Neodiprion lecontei: one gene and its partner. The protein of the gene in region 2 interacts with the protein of the main gene of each other region in a pairwise test. Links are inferred from orthologs where the notes say so. Each region holds a gene or a part of one and is shown on either strand. Other genes may lie near its edges.

Region 1 (10,950 bases), on a different chromosome or scaffold from region 2:
CGATTACTGCCTCTGGTCTACGTGTGCCTCATACTTGGTATCGCTGTGCGACTTACGCGATACGTTGTAGAGGAGTCTCATCACACCCTAAAATCATTGAGAAAGGGATTCGTGCTGCTGACTTACTGTTCCATCAATTACCTGTCAGTGGACTCGGAACTTAGATTCTTTCATTTGTAACCACATTCGAAATATAGATGAAAGTCAAAATTTGGAGCTCAAAATCTTCGACGATCAATCGAGATTTGAAATGAGATTGGTGCAGAAATATTCTAAAGTGACACAAGTTTGACACAAGCTAACAGTTTCGTTTCTCTGAAACTTGATCCGATATTTTGATGGTAAACTTTCACGAACACGATGCGAAGAAGAGTGTTCTTCACCGAGTACGAAGGAACATCAGCCGCGCTATGAACGTGGCAACGTGGTATAATACCATGCCTACTTCGCGGGACTTCGATGAACGATTTATCACTCTTATTAATAGCACGGCAACCGGCTCTTATACCGATCGCATCCAGCTACAAGAGGCTACACCTAGAGAATCCTGCCTTGAACAACTGGATCATGCCCTGTCCTGCCGAAGCGAGAAATCCTTTCCAGCATTCCGTTCCTTGAGAAATATCCTCGTCCAAGGTGTGTACTACACACCCCCGTAGTGACGGTCACGACATCCGGAACACAAGGTGCAGCGGCTGGAACGCCCGGTAGAGAGAAGCAAATATAGCATGCGTATCGCGGATAAATAGCACACAACCAAGGACCTCGCGTTACAGCCGTGGAATATTGCGTGTAAGGATTGTTCGTGATGTTGGCTTGGTGTTCGGCTGGACACCTAATTATACGATTGTCGTTTGTTCGAGAGTCTGAGATATCAGGACGAACCGGACAGTCGGCGTTGGACTCTTTCCTCGACTTGGCCTGACTCGGCTCGGTTTGCTTTGCCTTGTTTCGCTTTCCTTCGCCTCTGCTTTGCTCGGCCCAAGTTTGCGGAGGCAAAGATTGTCGCGCGATTAGCGCTCGGCCAGTGATGTCACGCTGGAAGACGCATGGTGTCCGCGTTTATATGGGCTAACGCCGCAAGTGCGTAATCGCCGATCGCATCTGCCTGCACTTTGCGTCAACTCCGGCACCTTGCCCGCACTCGCCTTACTCCGGCAATCCTTTTCAGATCTACCTCTCTAAGTAATAGTCGGCGGATTATCGTACGCGTCTCTCTCTCCCAGGTAATATCCACACGCCAGATTCTCTGAGCATCCTCGTTACTCACCGACCGATAAAAAGATTCGGTCTCAAAATGAGCCGACGAATTTTGACGAACAAAAATAATACGGCACATCGGCTGCCGTGCATAAATCGCTGGAGATCGATAATTGATTCCGATCCCTCAAAGAGCCTAACCATCCATACTCGTTGATATTCAATTGACTTCGTCTCGCTGAAGACCATTTGTCTCTGCGTATGTAAGAGGCTTGCAAGATCCGGTTCTCTGACCGGCCGTTTATTCTCCGAGCAAACTTGACTACCGATGTATCGAGCCTCGAAACGACGGCATCGACATTGCAAGATCATTATATCATTTTCCGGCGCTACTTTTTCACGGTGTGAAATCTAATCAGCAAATCACAGGGATCGGATCAACCGGGCGGCATTTTTAGTCACGGTGAAAGTTAATTTATTGCGCCAGGGCGTGTTTGGGCGGGCTACTCGATATCCGCGCGTGGAATCGCGAACCTCGGTTTGAAGCTAGCGTCGAAAAGTGCTGCCCGGAGAGCCGCAGCTACGTGGGAAAACGCTCGGCGAAAGAACCCGTGGCGGAACTGCTAAGCCGTCGAATCGACGGGCCTTAAGACCTTCCGAGGACGAGGACGTTCCGCAGCGACGTCCCGAACGTAGGTTTGTTCGCAATCGACGGGACGTTTGTATGGCAAGTCGTTGGCAGTTCTATCGTCGGCTTCGTGCTACCAGAGACCGTTTGGTACCATGGTTTCAATATCCGTTCGAACGCAGATGTCCCGCGCCATCCGATACCTTCTTCTTTTTCTTTTTCTTTTTAATTTCATCCATTCATTTTTTACCTCTTCTCAAATACGCTCCGCGTGTACGCGGCCCGTACATAAAGTTTGCCTGACCGGTGCGCATTTGCCCTTTTCCACCATTCGCTCCCTCCACCCGCCATTCGTAGCCAGGAATTTGTACAGCTTAACCCTGCCAGGCCCTCCGGGACTCTTGCGGTCGTTCTCAAGAAGCGTCCGAGACCATGGGGCCGAGACTTACCACCGCGGTGGTGGAAGAGTCTGTATATTTTTATGAACTCTCCCGTCAGAAGAGAATTTCGTACCCGAACCCTTCCCTGACGGCAGTTTATCCACATTTTAACCAACAATAATTCTCCGAGACTCGAACTCTTCGAAAGATTTTTCACTTTATGATCTGAAATTTCGAGTACATACAAAGAAATAGGATGAGCTTTTTGTTGAATGCCAACTTGCCGCGCAATGTCTTTACTGACTTGTGCATCGGATACGCGAGGCTGGAAGGAGGGTTTGAGTTTTGAGAAAAACGAGAATACGAGCATGCCGCAGCGAAGTTGTGGTTGGAGAGCAAACGGCTGTGAATGATTCACCGCGTCTCATTACTCAGGCAGCTTTTTACTTTAATCACATTAATGAAGCATTTAATCTCACCGCGTGTCTTACAAGCCGACGGTGTGTGGCCCGGCCGGGTTCACCGTTGACGAAGGAGGGGCCAGAAGAAACGGGGAGAGGAGGATAGCGGGGAACGGAAAGAACGGGGCACGATCCGTAGACACCACAGCCACAAACTACGGCCTGTACGAACCGGCCCCGACAGCCGGCCAGCTTATTATATTCTTATTTCTCACAGGGCCCGGGCCCCGTCGCACCCCGCTGTTCCTCGTTCCACCGTTCCGCCGTTCCACCGTTCCCCGCGAGGTGCCCTGGTCCCTCCCGCAGGGCCCGCTAATAACCGCGGGCTTCTTTAAACTCGTTTGCACCTGTACACCCGCGGTCATATCTAATTATTTATGTATTTATTACGATTCCTTTTCTCTTACGATCCGCCAGTTCCCAAACTTCACTTTCGGGAATCGCTTGAGCACCACCGACCGACCACCCCTGCGTCCGTCGTGGCTCACACATGCAACACGCATCGCCGCGGAGGACGAGTCGAGTTCTCGATTTCTTGGAATTCAACAATTTTTGCTCAGCGCATGAATATCCATGATGGAACTTCGTTACCTTACAGCACTGCCGCAGGGCGAGTCGACTCATGTCGGCATGGTAAATGGAATCCGCGAGTACCGGGTGCCGAGCCGCCCCTCGAGTGTCGCAACGTCACTTACCTGGAACAATAAATAACCCGCTATTATACAACACAACTCGCACATGTACCGGTGAGTCGGAATATGTGCTACTAATTAATCAACACCTTCTGTAAGCGAGGGCGCAAGGTCGCTGCCTTGAACGAACCCCGCGATGAGGTGCAAAATCGGTTAGATAATTAGTCGACTATTTATTAATACCGAATTTTGTTACATTCCATCGTTTTTTCACCATCGCACACGACGTGAAACAAAAAGGTCCGTACACACGTTGTTTGTCACCTAAGATTTGATAAAAATACATTCAGGCACCGAATGGAATTACAGATGTTTTGGCAACTCGAAACTACACGTATTGGAACATCGGACAATGTACGCGTGCATCTTGCGGTGAAAATAGAAAAGTATTTCAACATTCATATTTTCAGCAAGTTTGCGAGGAGTTGCTCGTTCTCTCGCGACGCTTTAACGCGGAAACAGAACTCGTTTCGACACACCAGATTTACATCCGTGATATGCCCGGCCAGTTTATTCTAAGATTATATAAAATCCTACTGTGAGAACCCACCTGTACTCATTCATATTTATTCACTGGCAAGATGCCACTGTTATTATTATCAAGATTATTGTGACTTTTATTTTGCTAAAGAAGGTAGGCCGATTTGAATCTCTTCACGTCTCACTTTCCCCACGGTCTCGACTCCTAAAAGTCTCGTCTCACTAGAGGTTCTTTCTTTTTACCTTAGAGTACAACGTGCCTGGTAATTATTTAAACGCGTGTTTTCAGGACAAGAGGCCGCGACGTTACGGAATCGGTACTAGGCTTGTAAGGATAAACGTCTTCGCAAAGAACGTTCATTAACACGTGATTCATGGATATGAATCGTTTCGCACAATGGGCGGATTTGCAGACGACCATCGGGATCTATTTCGCGTGTTGGAATCCGCCCCGGCGTCGGGTCTGTCAAATTTCACTGTATCACCGCGGCGAGCTTTTGTCTTGGGTTTTTTTTTTTTTTATTTCCGACCAGGACGATTTAGCGAGCCTGAGTATTCCGTCTGCATTTCAATTCCGAAACGAGCCATTACGCGATAAAAAAGAAACAACAATCTCCCCGGCGAGAGTGAATTCTGCGCGAGATAAAACACTGGCAAACTAACCGAGTGGTTCGAGGTTCCGGTCGGCGGGGTTCTTAGGTAAATCACGGTCTGGCACGAGTTCCTCCAAATTCCGAGCGCTTCATTACCGCCTGCATCCAACCCGGGTCCAGATCATCCGGTAATCCTATTGGCCGAACTCGAAGCCAACACTCGCGCACTTATTGGCTGCACTTGGCACGTGGCACCGCACAAGCACACGCGGGTAAAGGGAGAGCCGATCATCGGTGTCGCGGCAGCCACGTTGTGAGTGCCCCCTACCCCCGGAATAAGTGATCGGATCAACCCTCACCCCCTGCACCAAGTCGCGAAAAACTCTCCTCCGTCTCCGGATCGCGACGTAAACGCAACGCGCGATGTCCGACGAGCGCGACGTCAGACCATTTCAGTTTCACCGTTATCAATTTGTTCCCCCAAAGAAACAAGAGGGTTGGTTAGTTGGTTCGTCGGTTATATATGGATCGGCAAAACCGCGAACAGGTGTACCTATGGACACACTGGGAACATAAACCTCCTCGGTCGCGAGCGCTCGCATAAATATAACAAGAAGGAAGGTAGGCCCCTCGTGATGGTCGGCATTGCCCGCCGAGCCGTCACGACGCGAGCGATGGGGGGAGGCGGACGATGAAGGGGGATGGTGGGGGAGGGGCAGGGGGGCACACCGACGCCGCTGCGCCACTGCTGTACGGTACCTGTGCCGGGCGCACACTTAGAGGATCGAGGGTGTGTGGGTGGTCATGTACGGCGCAACACGACGGTGTGAAACACTGGGAAACGGCGGAATGATCGATGGGATTCTGCGCTGTGGGAGGCGTGGGTGCCCTCCGCTCCCCGTTCTTCCCGGGCCGCGAAGCTCGCCCCACGACGCCGGGCGTCCCCTCCCCCCCCCACCATCGCGGAAAAGCGGCGTAACTTCCCCACCGACGCCGGGTGCTCGCGGCCCTTTGACGGTCGGCAAAAGCTCGCTCGCTCGCTAGTCGGCGCAACTTAGTCGGGCGGGAAAGGGTGGGGGATGGAGGGGAAGGGACACGCACGTGGTCAGGACGGGGTTACGTCTCCGTTCCCTAGATGGCGTCGCGACGGTGGCGACGCCAGCACTGTCTATCGGAAAAAAGCTCAAGCTCTCAGACCCGGCGGCAATGCAGCTTGGCGTTTTGAACGAGACGAACAATTTTCACGACCATACGATTCCCCGAGCGGTGATCAGTGATGAAATAGGCTTAAGCTTGTACGCAGAATTTTATTATCAATCGTTGCGCAAAAACGGACATGATTATACTTTACGTAATCCCTGCTGTGGGGAAGGGGCGGAGGACACTTTTCATACCCCGCAGGATCAATTAAAAATTACGCAGCCAGTTTGCGTAGAGTTCTACGATCTGCCTTATAATCCGCGGCTCTCTTACCCGTATACGTTATACATATACGTAGAGCTACGTGTTCGATCGCGGTATAATATGTATTTATTCATCCGCATGCGAAACGCCGACTCTCTGACACTGCTACCCTCCTTGTACGGCTGTGTTTATACCCGACTCTTTTCGTACCCGGCGGCACTCTCCGGTTGCCGCAGTGAGGTGTAATTAACGCGTTGCGAGGCCGCTCACGCACCGTTTTCCACGCACACCGTCGTCCCGAATGTTCACCGACTGAACTCCCAGCGTCACTCACACCGATCCGGCCGCGGCGCACGCGCTCATAAACCACGGACACCGCGGGCATGCCAGAGTTTCCACCCGCACACAAGACGACCACCCATGAATGTGCCCGTGACCACCCGCGGCCTTCCCGTGGCTTTTGTCCCGCGAGTTGAAATTTTTTCTCGGCCAATCGCGAGGCCCGAGTCACGCCAAAACTGGAGCTGTAATCAGGTTGCGTTCACGCTCCTCGTGCAGGTGTCGAGGTATTCCAGAAGCGGTCGGGCTTCGGCCACGTGGCTTTCAGGAATTCCTTTTGATCGGTGCGTGAGAGCGCTGGGTTAAACGTGTTTATGTAAGTTGTGGCGCAGCCCAGGCAGCGCAGGGCAGGGCAGGGCAGAGATACGCTCAGATTATTAATCGTCAATTTACGAGGGAAGAGAAATTCTGGTACGTTTCACAGAATGCAAATGCCAACGCCGCGTCCAGTAGGCACAAACGAACGAGACGCCCGACGTCCGGATTTCAACCGGAGTGGGTCCGAGCGCTGCCCCAACCGAATTCCTAGCTATATCACGCCTCGAGCTCCCTCTAAGTACGTATTTTGTGAGCATGGAACGTTCCTGCCGAACGCGGCCCGAAACAAAATGATTACTTTCTAACGTTTCCCGTTCATCCGTCAACGTTGGTCGTCATGGCGCGTTCACCGTTGTCCAATACCGGCACGATTTTTCCTCCCGCATCTCAAGTGGGTAGGACAGAAAACCGCTCGTCAGATTTCAAAGCATCCGGACGTTGAACCGTCGTAAGTCTGTCGGTTTCCTACGCAATTGTAGTGTAAATATTTCGCGACGGCGTGGCGGCGCCGGAATACAGACTAAATCCGAATACGTACAGAGCGGTGATTTTCGAACCAAACTATATAGTTTTAATTAAAAAGAAACGCTGTGCAATCTTCCTATTAGCTGGCACCTCTTCTGAACCACGAGCGCATCGAGCCGAGTCGAATTAAACAGATCGTGAAACACGGTATCTACGCGAATGACGTGTTATTACCCTCTTCGGAACATTAAGTATACGTGTTGCAGAGGTGTACAAGAATATCGTTTGTAACCTACTAATCTGCGTTTAAAGGAAGAAAAAAAGGTCACGCAGTCTGTGTGTCAAAACGTAAAGACATATGCTGACCTAATGTTGGAGTGTATTAATAAAATAAATTGATTGACGATCACGAATTGGCGAGTATGGTGTTGTTGATAGTGGCGCAATAATCGAGACGAAATTTGTTGAAAGGTGGATAAAGAGGGAAGTCATTTCTCTGCTCGCTCGTATTAAGGCCAATTGTTTTCTAATTACAGCAGCGTTTTACCGTCATCGTAACACCCGAGGATGCGAGGGTGAGGGTGAGGGTGAGGGTGGTGGCCCTGCGGGTGCCGCAACGCGTTGTATTTTATGGCTGGAAAGTAGTGCAAAGCACGGCGTGCTGGCAATTGATCAATATAGCGCCACGGCCACCGCCACCGCTGGCAACCCCTTCCTTCCCTCCCTCCCCCCCGGCCAACGTCGTCTCTTCTCTTTTCTCTCCAGCCCAAGCTTTCTCCCCCGTTTCGTTCACCCCCCCCCCCCCCCCCCTTCCCCTTTCTCCGCCTCGGGCACCCGTGGTGCGTTCCCTACCGCCGCGGGGAAAACGAACGAACGAACGAACGAACCCCCATAACAAGTTTCTTACTCATCTTTTTCGTTCAATAACTCTCCATCCAAGATGGCCACCACGGGTCGTCCCTCATTGGCCATGGGATGGGGTGGTCGCAAGGTAGAAGCCGAAGGGTGCTGCGGGGGGTTGAAACCAGTGACGCCATCTATCTTCCGTTGCCTTGGCTCGGAGTAACATAAGGCAAGATAAATTGCGGGATCTCCTGGGTTCTTGAACCTTTCTGGCAAATTGCATAAGAATATCCACCCCCGTCGCTGCCACCAGCCACCCAGCGACCCCCGCCTCACCTCCACCACCCCCTCGCTCCTCCAATGGAATTGGAATTAACTTGAATAAATCAGCCCTCCACCACCTCAAGACACCCTGAGCTACACGCGCTCGGCCCGCCCGCCTTGCCCCACGGAAAATACTTAAAAACCGTCCTTGCCAAACTAGGTAACGTTATCCGAGGAAAAAGGGAGAAACGGAATATCGTTCATTCCAAGAGTGGGTAGGTATTTTACCTTCAATCTGTCGGAGCATTCGCCGGGAAAAGGTATCCCTCGTATTCCTCCCACCAAATAAGAGAGAAAAAATTAAATCCCTGAACATCTCTCCGAGGCAAAAGGAAGTTCGAGCAATCTTCCGGGTCTTTTGGAAGTAAGCAATAGCGAGGAACGAACGCGCGCGCACTTAAAGGGGGAATCGTTTCACGGTGCACAACAGTGTCGAGAGTGTATACCTACGGCATAAAGTGATAATAATAATTTAGTGACGATTAGGAGAAATGTGGCTGTTGACGGTGTTCCATCTCCCCATTCCCATGCTTGGATGTGTACGACACGGAAATCTCCTCGTCTTCACGGTGTAGGTGTCAAGTTCCATTCAGCCGAGCAAATGAGCGATAAAACCATTCATGGTCTAACCACCGTTCGCTGGTCGTTCGAGTCGTTTCAAGGGTCGTAAAGTAATGCTGACATCTGGTGGCATTCGCTCGAACACCGTTCTCCTCCTCTTCGGGTTGAACAAGGACGGACCTATACTGGTTTTCGGAGTCCTGCCAAAGACGCGGAGAGGGAGGGAAGCGTCTAACCAGCGCACGCGCCTCTCCGCGGCCCATTGATCGAAAGAACTTATAGCTTGTAAAATTGGTGGAAGAAGAAAGGAGGCCATAAAAACACAACGAGCTATTCCATCTTCGAGATACCGACGCAGAACTTCCGCTCTTGCTCCAAATACGCCCGATTTCTCACCGTCGCAAGGGGAATCACCGAATTCGCAAGCTCATCGTCAATGCGAAAAAAAAAAACAACTAATCGTTTGGATATTTTATCTCCCATTCATTCTGAAGTATTACCGTCTTTTCAATTCAGGTACACACATTACGGATGAAGCAGGTGCTCCTGAAAATTAGATTTTTCATACTTGACGCAAATGTTCAAGGGTTGGCTAAGCAGCTGATCTTCCTTCGTTGGTCTATGAAATTTTAGAAAACTTTGGATGGGATTGAACAGAGGATAATTCTTGGTTTTTTCACTTCTGTTTTTTGAGTCGCTCTGTGTACAGAATTCCAAAATCACGACACAAATCCATTACTGGAAATCCAATAGGACATCTATCAAGAAGTTTCCAAGTGTTTCCAGAGGATAATCAAAGTTGTTTAATTGGCTTTGAAGACACGAAGGAAAGACATGCACGAGACTCGAGTAGCTCGATTAAATAGCGTCAGTCAAATTACTTCTTGACGAACCGTTAATGAGCCAGAACCCAGGATAAATGAATCAAGAATTAGATAACACATGCAAAAAACGTATTGTCATAAATTAGCATCGGCCTATAGACAAATGCAAATACACTAGAACGCCTTTTAACGCATGGTTAGGTAAGCAATAAAACGTTTCGTGCTGTGATTTTGAAGAAAAAATTATAACGACGAACAACGTATAAGCAATTCGTTTGAATACAATGGTGTCGCAGCAGCAGCAGCAGCAGCAGCAGTCACCACAACAAGAGAAAGGATTACCCACTCGGAGCAATAAGAGTAGGACATAAAAATACGGAATGCGGTGGGAGAGCGCAGGGGCAGCCGGTGATTTCACCCAGAAAATTGTGTTAGGGTAAGGTTAGTGAGCTCAAGGCGCACTTTACGATTTGTTTACACCCGTGGGTTGGCGGCGGGCTGTATCAGTGCGGGAATATCTGTAAAAGCGCCGCGTCCGTCCAGATTGAGCGCTCGGCGTGCGTGCGCGTGTGGGTGGGTCGGCATCGCATCGCATCGCATCGGTTGTCAGAGAGGAGCGCACGGTGCGAGAAGTGGTTGATTCGCGTGTACGGAGAGGCTGCGGCCAATACAACGATCCGTACGTATAGGAGTGTAGGGTACACGAGAGCACGAAGGGCCACGTGATCGTGCAGGCCATAAACGCGCGGTTATGCGCTCGTAAAGCGAACCCCACTCAGCGCCGGCACTTCGAGCTCATAAAACTCTTGTTTTACGATTATGCCGGGTATCTAGTGGCCCAGTCGGGACTACGGAATCCCGTGGTGGAAGACCGGGGGCATCGGGCCTTCCGACAGCGCCTCCCTCGCGACGTCATCGACCGATGACGCGTCTCCCGTGACGCCGTGCCGGCGGACGTCACGGCCGGAGAGACGGAGAGACGGAGAGAGAGAGAGAGAGAGAGAGGGAGAAGCGGGAGTACCGGCTGAGGAACGGAGAGGGACGGAAGAGTGAAAGCGAGGTGAGGCGAGCGGCGTGACGTCACGGCTCTGACGCAACGACCCGACGCCCGGATAGAGAAGCCATGTTTGGTACGGGAAGGAAGAACGCGGAGCCATTATAGAAGGGGCGCGCCTAGCCCCTCCGTCCGACCGGCCCTCCGAGGAACAGCTGTCAGCTGAGGACCCACCCCGCCTCACCCCGCTCACCCACTCGCTCACCCACCCCAATGTTAAAATATTCCGTCGCTGAGAGAGAGAGAGAGAGAGAGAGAGAGAGACGGCGAGGAGAAAGGGAGGAGGACAGCGTGCGAGAGTTATGGCCGCCTCCGAGACTCAAATAACTCTCTAATCCACCGTCGCGTGTTCGTGTGTGAGAGCGACAACGCGTGAATGCGTGA
Region 2 (10,633 bases):
TAACAAAGAGCAACAAAGAAAAAGAAAATACGAAACTGACCACGTAAACAACAGCCAATATGTAAACCGTCGGTGTTTTTTCAGTAAAAATAGTTTCGCCTCGCGGTCTCAAATATTTGTGGCCTTTGCAACGTTTATAAATAATAATACTCGATACAGATTATATGATTTGAGAACAGGTCAATTCGACTGGTTGTTGAACCGAGCAAGATTAATGACTCGTTTTCTAGACAAATTTTAGTTGAGGAAGGCGAGAGGCGTACCCAATAAACGGCACTTCAGCTCGCGGTGTTGTTCCAAATTAATTACTCTTCAATTAGGTACAGTAACTAACACCGCCACGGATATCTTTATAAGTTCATTGCTCATCGTCAACGTCTAATTGACAAACGGGTCAACGTCGAGCAGCAGGTATGGGATTAGAGTGAATCAGGTTTGAAATTCAGTTTAGATTGTTTCCTGCAATCTCAGCGCTCTTTCTTAATCTGTTTTATAATCCATGGTTTTTAAGAGGACGTCGAATCTCCGTAAAATACCGCAGATCGTATTTTTACAGTTCTCACTTTTTCTGAACGAGAAAATTCCTTCAAATTTTGGCAAATCATTTGACTCGGAAGAGTACAAGGAATCAACGAAATCACCGAACATATGCTTGCAACGGATTCTCGCTCACTTTGAGGCGGTTGCGGGATTATTGAATCCCATGTTTTTCGTATTTTTACATCAGTTTTTCGAGTGAACCCACAAGCACAATTGGAAACATTTGTAAGCGTATAATTTCCCAAAGTTTGAAACGATTTAGTTACTCCAGAGAGAAAGGACTTATAGTTAAAATACGATTCGGTCACTCCGTCGGCACTCCGACATCCCCTTACAATTAAATTATAACTACGGGTTCCGGACTGGACCAGAAATCATCGCCTCCTGACTCGTCCCTCGAATACCGTGATATTATACACAAAAGTATTACAGTGTTGGCGATGGTTGAACGCGCGACCCGTGGCGTGAAAATATATATATTTTTAGACCAGAAACCGTGGCAACGTCGGTGCGGCGCGGAGAAGAAAAGAGAAGAGAAGAGAAGAGAAGAGAAGATGAGAGAAGAGGAGAGAAGAGGAGAGACTCGAAGTAGTACATGACCGAACGAGGCCTCCTTTTTCACGTGAATTTCGGCACCGCCCGCTGTCAGGAGAGTAGAATGTAGAAAAGGTAAGGGCGAGGTATCCAGGGCCCGAAAATGAATAGGACCCTAAACGCCGTGACAATGGTGGAAATTTAGGGGCTGTATTTCCCTTGGCTGGCAGCGTGCGCAAAGCGCGCAAGGTGTTTTTCTCACATTCTTCACCGAGCCAGAGGCGGAAAGGACGCGGTCAGACAGACGGCTGCCGACGAACCAACCAACCAACCAACCAAAGAACCGCGGAGCTCTTCGGCGGAACGGGGGAAGAAAAAGGGTTTTGTTTATCTTCGAGTAAATCAAGTGTCGGTGCGTTCGTCCGAGCTCACGGACGCTCTAAACTCCGCGTCTAAATCGTATCTTCGCAGATTACAGAGTTCATCGAAAAATCTCGGAAAAATTATCAAAACAAGAATAAAAAAAAAAAAAAAAAAAACGAACCTCTTGTAATACGCTTATTTATCGTATTTTAAAATATTACGAAACGGATCAATGGCTCAACTAACGCAAGAGGTACGGTTTCGGAATGGTCTGCATTTGCTTTCTCTCTTCGTATCGTCTCCGCTCATTATCGGCTTGGACGAGTTTATCGTAATCGAAAAAAATCCATCGCCGACGGCGAACGATGATCGGTTATACGGGGTTCACGGATCTCTAATTCGAATCTATCCTCGCCCCATGAGAACCCTGATTATATTAAGTACGCGGGAAAACGGTCTGCTTAACATAGCGTTTATCTGCTCTTCTCCATTTTAGTGCTTTTTCACTGCCTCGTCAGCCATTGCCCATAAACTCTGTGGTGGAGCGGCGCAGTTCAGTTCTATCCCCGGTTTCTGTGTAGGCGTGTACAGATTTACACACCGGCATTCGTCCCACATGCATGAGTAGCTCTGCATCGCGCCGAGCGTGATACACACCACGACGCGGCGTCCCGCGCACGTTCATACATGTAAGTACATACATGTGCACACATGCGTACATATACGTATGCACACGGAGCGTCGCGTCGCTCTCTCGGTTGGGAATACAGCGGGCCCCCCAATACCAATTCGAAACTCGTAAACATAATTTTTATGTGATGTTTGGATTACTTTACGCGTGGATAGAGAGACCACGAAGTGCGCAATTATTTTGGGGCTCCCCTGTTTTCAGGCCCCCTTTTCCGTCGCTGACGGCTCTTCAGCTTTTCTGTGCCGACTCCCCTGATCGGAAAAAATGGGATGGGAAGGGGGGATGACGCGCCTGCAGCAGCATATCAAGGGTCGTTCACCGTCAACAGAAACGTCTATCCGTACGTCTGCCTGTCTGTCTTCTTCCGAGCCCAGTGAACCGCGAGGAGAGGCATTCGATCCAAGATGCAGGGAAGGACCGAAATCAAATCCCGCCAATTGCGGAACACGTCGTTTAAATCGAGTTCTTCGCTACCCACGCGCTCGGATCAACGACGAGCATGACAATCAATGCATGCCGCGAAGGATGGGAGGTGAGGAAGAGAAGAGAGACGATGGAAGAAAGTTGAATTGTTTTCCCTGTCGGTGATTGAACGAATGAATGAATGAACGAATGAGGGAGGTGTGATTTACGGACTCCCGTTGCTTCTGCAGGTACTTTTCTCGTATCTGTTATTTTTATTTCCTTTTTTTTTAAATCTTCTTTCTTTGGTCTGATTGGTCGTTTTTAGTTACTCTTTATCCCCTGGCACATTTTATGTAACGTATTGTCACACTGATAGCATCGCGAGATAAGGTGCGATAAAATCGTGGCCGATCATCCATCATTGCGGGTGACATTGATACGGTGTGACAGCGTCGCCGCTGCTTAAAACCCTTCGAAATTCTTTTAAAACTAAAATGTTCCTCCGGCTTGAGGCGAAGTATAAACAAACGGACGTGTGCACGAACTGCATGTAGCCGTGTGACCTTCTTTTTCGATTCTCTGCACGGACGGCGACAGTCGTTGAATAATCGCGAAAACGTAGGTCGGAATGTATCGTACAGCATTTGAACAACGTATGAAATTCGAATTCGATAATGCAGGTATCTGATGTCTTAGCTTACCAGTTTTTTCTTTGATTTCGCACAAGACGGAGAATAGGGCTGGTTTCATTCTGTGGCAATTTAGCGTGTGTTTTCTGTGGACAATAACAAACAGAAAAGACGTTTAACTATTGTTTAAACAGACAGCGTACACATATTCGATATAAATTAAAAACAACAATAACCCGCAATAAGGCCGGTATATTCAAGTGTTAAACAACTCTCAAACCGATCGCTTGTCGTATTTTGCGCCTCCTTTATTTCGGTTATGAAAACGAATTACACTCAACGCATTAGTAACTCTATGAGCAGGCACTTGTTACCGTAATCGTCACCTCTTTCCATTCTAAATTACAGAGTATCGATCCCTGAATCATCGACAGAATCAAGTTCCCGACGGAATTTCGTCCGCGCGATATTCATATTTTCCCTAAAGTATACTCGCGAAATGATTGAATTGGGAATTTAATTACCTAGCCTGTGCCTCGTCCAAACTTTGGTCCGTTATGTTCATAATCTGCTGTAATATTTCGCCGATGTCCTGTTTCCTCGCCTCGACGCTCTGATCGGGGCCTTGAGCCGCGCTCGCATCGACGGGCCCCATGCTGCCGTAGCCCCCCGTGTTTTGGGCCCCTTGACCCTGGTTGCCCCCCATCAGACTCACACCTGAACCACCGTGTTGCAGCATCCTTCCAGTTTCATCCATCAACTGAGTACCAGCTCCGTTTACGTCTGGCGGCTCGCTGGAGCACCGATGTTCTCTTTGCTCTGTTTTTGTTTTTAGTTTTTTTTTTTTCGTTTTTTTTTTTTATGATGCCTCTCGCGATTTTGTCAGGACTTCGGAGCGACGAATGACTGATCCCGAATGGTTTTCTTTACAAGATTTACAAGAACTAAAAACAAAGAAACACACAACAGTAAACAAACAATCAAACAATCGCCAACCGACGCGTTTCACTTTCTCATTTCTCTTCTATTTTGCGATTATTATTGGACGATGATGATGATGATTATTAAAATACTCCCATCTCGCGCACAAACTTTCGTCGTTGTATTAATTTTTCAACACGTGTTCCACTTTATCCGTAACTAACAACGAATCTTATATCGCGTACATATGTTTCTCCGTGTGTAAATACGGCAAACTCTGCTACCTTCGTCGTTCTCTTCGGGATTATTTGGAAATATATATATGTATATACTCGCAACTACGGTAATAATAATAACAATAACAATAATAATCACTGTGGTTATTATTATCGATTTGTTACATTAAAACGCGATTGAAAATAATTCGTAGACACTATCAGCATCGTATATGTATTTATATGTGTGTATATATATATATGTGTATATACAATATATATATATATATATATATATATACAACAGTGTCTTCTGGTATTAATTTCCTTTGTCTCGAATTTCCAACGTTCACACTTACGTTTATTCTTATATTTTATTGTATTATTGTATTCTTTTTTATCCTTTATGATATATATATGTGTATATATATATCTCTTATGTTTTAGGTTCGTAGTCGGTATGATGTAGAGTAGTGTCTAGTTGACGGATTGTCAAAGTGTTACGTATACACGGTTCGTTTTATTACAGTTATTATTTTATGTATCTATTTGTTTTATTTATTACTTTTTAATAACTATTAATTTACGTCATCCTCGTTACCGTTTTCGAATCCTCGGTATTGTTGTTTTCGACGGTGTTTCACGGTAAGCCTAGGCCGATTTGGAAAACTCTTGCCATTCGTATGGCATTACTCTGTGCCTTTACAAGGCAGCGCGCGGCCCGTGTGCGTTCTGTCTCTAGCGATCTGACTTTGGTTAGTGTGAAACTAGCTTCCCTCGGTGCCGAGTGTGCGTGCGCCAGCCATACCCGTTCCCGCCAATCAGAGGACCGCATTCGCGCTCCGTCCTCCGACACGAGACGTCTCTCTCTCACTTGTTTGCTGCCCCATGCGCGACTCTTCGTTGACGCTTGTTTATTTAACCTCCGAGCATCAAACTATCACCGATTCGATGTCGTTCACGGTTTACACGCACTGTCGCCAACACTCCGATATTCACTAAGGTCTGATCATTGTATAAAAGTTTTTCACATTAATGCTGATTGTATTCACGTAAGGCAGGTTTAGTCTCGCACGTCGCGCATCCGACGCTCATTCCTGACAGCAGTTGCGACGCAGACTCCGCCCACATTGCACTTTTTATTCTACAGTTTTTATTTATGTACCCGATTAGGCGGCATGTTGATACGTATTTGTCCCACTGTTTACTTATTGGTGAAAAATAATATTTTTACTCGTGTTTTACCGGCAAAATATCAACTCTCAAGCGTCTAAACGGAGGTTTAATTTGCCAAACAAACCCGTGAGCATGCGCGGCAAATAAACATGGCTTCCATGGCGGCCATGTTTGAATGCAGTTGTTGATTGGAACTGGAACCGATGTTGCAGGATTTCTTTTGCGATTACGTGGTAATATTTGGTATCTGGGAAACTTATATGTTAAAAAATTTTGGAATAAAAATTAGCCGCTGTTATCAAGTGTTGAATTTATCACCGTTGTAACGAAAAAATTTGAACTCAACTTTTCAGACTGTCGTTGCTGTTTACTACAATAAACAATAAATTAATGAATGTATGCGTGCAATAGTGCGTATAATTATGTCCGTCAGCTGGGATAAATCAAAATAAATAATGGTTTCATACCTGGCTTACGGAAACGTCAGATTCGTCAGGATTCACGGATAAAATTCTAACATAACCCAAAATAACCTTAACTTAACCTAATCTAATCCAAGTGACAACGAGGCTTGACGTCTACCCACGTTTCCTTGCAAAGTTTTGCTCGCTACTTTTCGCCGGTAAGAATGTCTGCTGCTGATAACGGTACAAGAATATTCAACCTCAACGTTGCACCTTCTTTATCACTCCCTCCTTGCCTGGAATGACGTTTCCCAATTGATAGTAGCGCCATCTGTGCGTCATTTGATAGTACCAGACACAGACTCAGTAAGTCTACGGGCCTGAGAGAGCTCACGCTCGTCTTTCCGTGATATAGGTTTTTGACACTAATTTTCGAGGTATTTGGTCGGTAAACGCGTGGCGTAACCGACCAATACTCTGCCGTATTAAGCGTCGTGAAAACAGTGAACGATGCGGAACACATTTACGGGGATCAGTAGTCAAATATGAACAAATTACTAACATCCACTGTTTTCGTGATGCCGAATATGGCCGATCACTGAAGATACTGCAGAGTGCAGTTCAGTTACCGTCATGCCTTTACCGTTCAAATATCTCTAAAACTAGTTCTGAATACCTGTATGGTGTCAAAGGGCGCTAATACACCGGAGACACGAGAAGTGCAAGCGTGGGCTCTCTCAGGCTTCTGTCTGCTTCTCTCTCGTACGTTTCGCGATTTGACCACGCCGCGGCGACTGCTGTTCGTCATCGTCATTATATTTACAAGCTGCAGGAGGTGCACGTGAAATTTTGTGGTTAAAAGGAAAGACAAGATGCAGTTAACAGAGACGCGTAAGGCTAAATCATTCGACGTGAAGTTGGCGAAGCAGATATTGATAAGGGAAAATAAGTACATAACAGATTTGTTCTCCCGTATGCCTATACCATACTCTGCCCTGCACAAAAACGGTTCGAACTCAAATATAACCTGAAAATTTGATAATTCTTACGTTGTATAGACTCGTCTGGTTGACAACGAGATATAATTTAACGCTTTTTTTATTGCAGATGAATTCCAAGACGATGATGCCGACCACGAGCAACAAACCAATGACAGAGGTATTAGTTTTTTGCAATAAGTCTGCTAGAGATAACAATTGTAGAATATTTAAAGTTCTTGGTTATCAGCGGCACGCTTGCGTGTGGAAAGACTACATAATTGATATTTCCAAGGATTCCTATAAAAGATTGATGAAAAGTTCATCCATTACTGTTAATTACCAAATACTCTCGTTTTGGGTTATAGAAAAGATGTTTTTGGCTCTGGGGTCAGGCACGTCGAGAGCGAATACGTTAATAGAGTTGCATGAAAAATTGGAACAGTTGAAGGGAAAGCGATTGGATTATAAAGCGAAACTTTTGAAAAAGGGCCTGAAAAATAGACTGAAGAAAAAAAGTAAAAAAGAAGAGAGATTGATGCAGAAAAAACTGGCCAAGACAGAGTTGGCTGCAGCTGGGGGTGCCAAAGCGAAGCATGAGAACGGAGATGTGCCCAAGTTCACAAGACCGAAACCAATTTTCAATTCGGAAGGTAAAATGGTCTTCAGTAAATTCGACTTCTCAGAAATCGGTGCTAAAAAAGTACAGCCTAAAGTAGACAAGGATCCCAAAAAGATTCTGCAAAAGTTGGAAAAACAGAAGTTGAAGATAAACGAACTACAGCAAGCTGGAAAAAAAGATGCGGCCGATGAACTTCAGGAGAGACAAGCTTGGAAAACTGTTCTAGCCAAGGCAAGTGGGGAAAAAGTCAAGGATAATCCAGAGTTATTGAAAAAATCAGTCAAAAAAGAAGAGCAAAAAAGGAAACATAGCGCTAAAAAATGGGAGGCTCGAAAAGAAAAGGTTCAGAAATCGCTGGAAGAGAAACAACAAAAAAGACAAGAAAACATTAACAAACGAAAAAGGGAAAACAAAATAAACAACCTGAAGAGAGCTTCTAAGAAGGGTCGAATCATACCTGGATTTTGAATAGCTTTCTTTGAATCATCAACTTAGCACAAGAATTGTCACTGTATGTAAAAAAAGCGTTATGAGATCAAGTAACGTGGTTCAAATATATTATCATGTTCGCAAGTTGTGATGTTATTTGCAACACAGTTTCCATGGCATTCAAACAGATTATTTTCATCGTGACTTGTTGCAAAGTCAAACGAAGACAGTGTTATTCACAAATAGGAAAAACTCAGACAGCGGCGCTGCAATTGTGGGCTGATTTTGTTATTAAAATATATAGTTTATTCAGCGAATATCTTTAGTACATACAGTATTTTTTGGAAACGATGCTAGTAAAATTAATTCATCTTATTACACTCTATAAATATGGTACGCCAACATTTTTTCTCAAGATCCTGTTATGCTTTTGAACTGAAAACTTCAAAGTTTTTTTTTTTAAATTGAACTTCGTCGAATTAGTACTACGCTACGCCTAGCCTCAAGCTTGTACCAGCATACGTACAAAAGTTTTATCACCGTCGAATATCTAAAACATTCGACAAGTTCTGCTTCGCGTGATTGTGACTACTGTTATCTGATTCTTGTATTTGTGCTTCTAATTCTAATGTCAGCATATTGTTGGTCAATATATAAATTGAGCCGTAACTTTAACGTACATATTCATGCAAAGTCTACTACTTTGATATGGTATTTACGCAGTTTCAGTGTTGCACTGCTATTCTCCGCTAACCAATTGTGAACTTCTGTACTCAGCACTACGTTTTTAACGCACTTGTATAATTGAGTTTGAATCTGAAAATCGAATTCAAGGGGCCCATTCTCCAGATATTGCAACGTGATGTTCGTAGCGATGACATTTTGTTCTCAATTTTTGTACTGCCTTCAAGTAGATTTTAATTTTAGAAATTGTTTTAGAAATTAAAATTCCTCCAATCCTCCAGGCATTATGAAATTAATGGGACTCTGATCCAATTATCTTGGTATGTCCACCAACATAGCAACATTTAGAACGTAATAAGTGCATCATGATAAACTTGACAATAGCCACAAACAATTTTCACAATTACACATACATCATTCTTAAAACTATATTTTATTATTACGCTTCGCGGGTGTTGCCTAAAAAATTTAACATATTCACTTGATTTCGATTATAGTTTAGCTGTATGCAACAATTACCATTTGCTGCTGTGATCGTTGCAATATGCCAGTCGTAATTATCGTGTGTTTTGGAGTGTTTGAAATGATGAATACCATGACTAATGCATTAGTGTTCCTTGTAATTAAAAAATGTATTCGAGTGGACTTATTTAACGGGATATAAAATGTACTCGTGCCGTCTAATCGGCAGAATTTGGCAGACGAATATTTTATTAGACTTGAAAATCTGTAACGTGTGACGCAATTGAACCGTAAACAGACAAGTTACGTACCTAGACTGAATAAATATTTGCACGTAATATAATTGGAATAAAGTTGAACGATATATTTACACGCGACTTAATTTTATCTCCGGATGAAATTTGTGCCTTGAAAGTACTCCTGGAAGGCATAAGTGGGCATTTCATTATGTGTAGAACATGTTTCAAGTTTGTAACTTACAACACTTATCAGTATATCAATAAGGTTGGCATCTTTTCCTTCTCTACCATTTTCGCCTAACTAATTATAGATATAAGATACTTACTACTTACTCACTTCTTACCGAGGCGTGAGGATAAAAATATTTACTCGACTATTCGGCATATTACTCTAATTTTGCTCTACAATATCTGATTAATGTTTGTTACATCTCCATTATACAATTCTTCTGATGCGTTGGTCCATTTGCTGCTATTCTTTTTCAGACACCTACATTACAACTATTTTTCACATTTCACGAGCGACCACAAATTTCTCAATTTATAAGTATTAGTTTAGCATTTTTGATTGGCAACGAGGTTGAAGTTAGTTACGTTATCGTAAGGAAACATTGGGGCAAAAAATCACTATTTTCATAATGTTACAACTATTTTTATGGAACTAAAATTTCGAAATATGAGATTGTTTCGTTTTATTTCGGTTCACTGAATTTCAGACAATTCCAAAATCGAAAAATAACCGTTTTCCTCATCATGATTCGTTACGATAACGTTATGAACTTCAATATTATATGATTATTCGCAGCCCGTCAACATCCCTTCGTACTATCGTACAATTCTTTATAATTTCATCCATTTAGAGATGATGTCTTATCAATCGCGCTTGAATTATGATTTTTTACGAGACAGTTGTTCGACGTTGTCGATTGGAAGAAAATGATGTTACGGTAACCGTTACTTTAGCACAAGAAAGATAGGCTGCCGTAGATCAGACCTTTTTATTTGCGTAACGATTGTTGTGCAAGTCTCGCAGAGCTCCGTGCAAAGCAGATAATTTTTAATATGCCAAAGTGATCCGCGTTCTGCGCAAGGATGTACGATCAATATGATCATTACATACGTAAGAATGCAAATTAGCGACTACCCTATAAACGTGTGTAGTACAAGCAAAGCCATGTCGGTAGATTCGAACATGAGGCATCGCTCAAGTGGGTGATCATTTTTTTTTTCCTTTTATCAAAAATTTTGAAAATGACTCAACATGGGAATTGATTGCTCTTTCGGTTGGATTTTTTACCTAGACTTGCTAATATTATACACGTGTACCTGCCTATAATCTAGA

The links. The genes of interacting proteins can lie anywhere in the genome.
Region 1: the proteins of homeobox protein extradenticle (region 2) and homeotic protein antennapedia interact in a protein complementation assay, tested with the Drosophila melanogaster proteins (2 studies listed by BioGRID). The link is inferred for Neodiprion lecontei from reciprocal best matches to the Drosophila melanogaster genes exd and Antp.

What each region holds. Positions count from the first base shown.
Region 1 is NC_060260.1:3,268,394-3,279,343, reverse strand, and holds the start of homeotic protein antennapedia, read right to left. Parts: upstream 4,995-10,950; 5' UTR 4,505-4,994; intron 3,365-4,504; 5' UTR 3,261-3,364; intron 1-3,260. UniProt on the Drosophila melanogaster protein: Sequence-specific transcription factor which is part of a developmental regulatory system that regulates segmental identity in the mesothorax. Provides cells with specific positional identities on the anterior-posterior axis.
Region 2 is NC_060262.1:32,543,334-32,553,966, forward strand, and holds the start of homeobox protein extradenticle, read right to left. Parts: upstream 6,102-10,633; 5' UTR 5,942-6,101; intron 5,534-5,941; exon of another isoform or gene 4,107-5,533; 5' UTR 3,920-4,106; coding exon 3,687-3,919; intron 3,309-3,686; coding exon 3,235-3,308; intron 1-3,234. Other genes in the region: surfeit locus protein 6 homolog, read left to right, coding at 6,751-6,886, 6,986-7,036, 7,224-7,945. UniProt on the Drosophila melanogaster protein: Transcription factor which acts with the selector homeodomain proteins altering the regulation of downstream target genes such as wingless (wg), teashirt (tsh) and decapentaplegic (dpp), thus affecting segmental identity.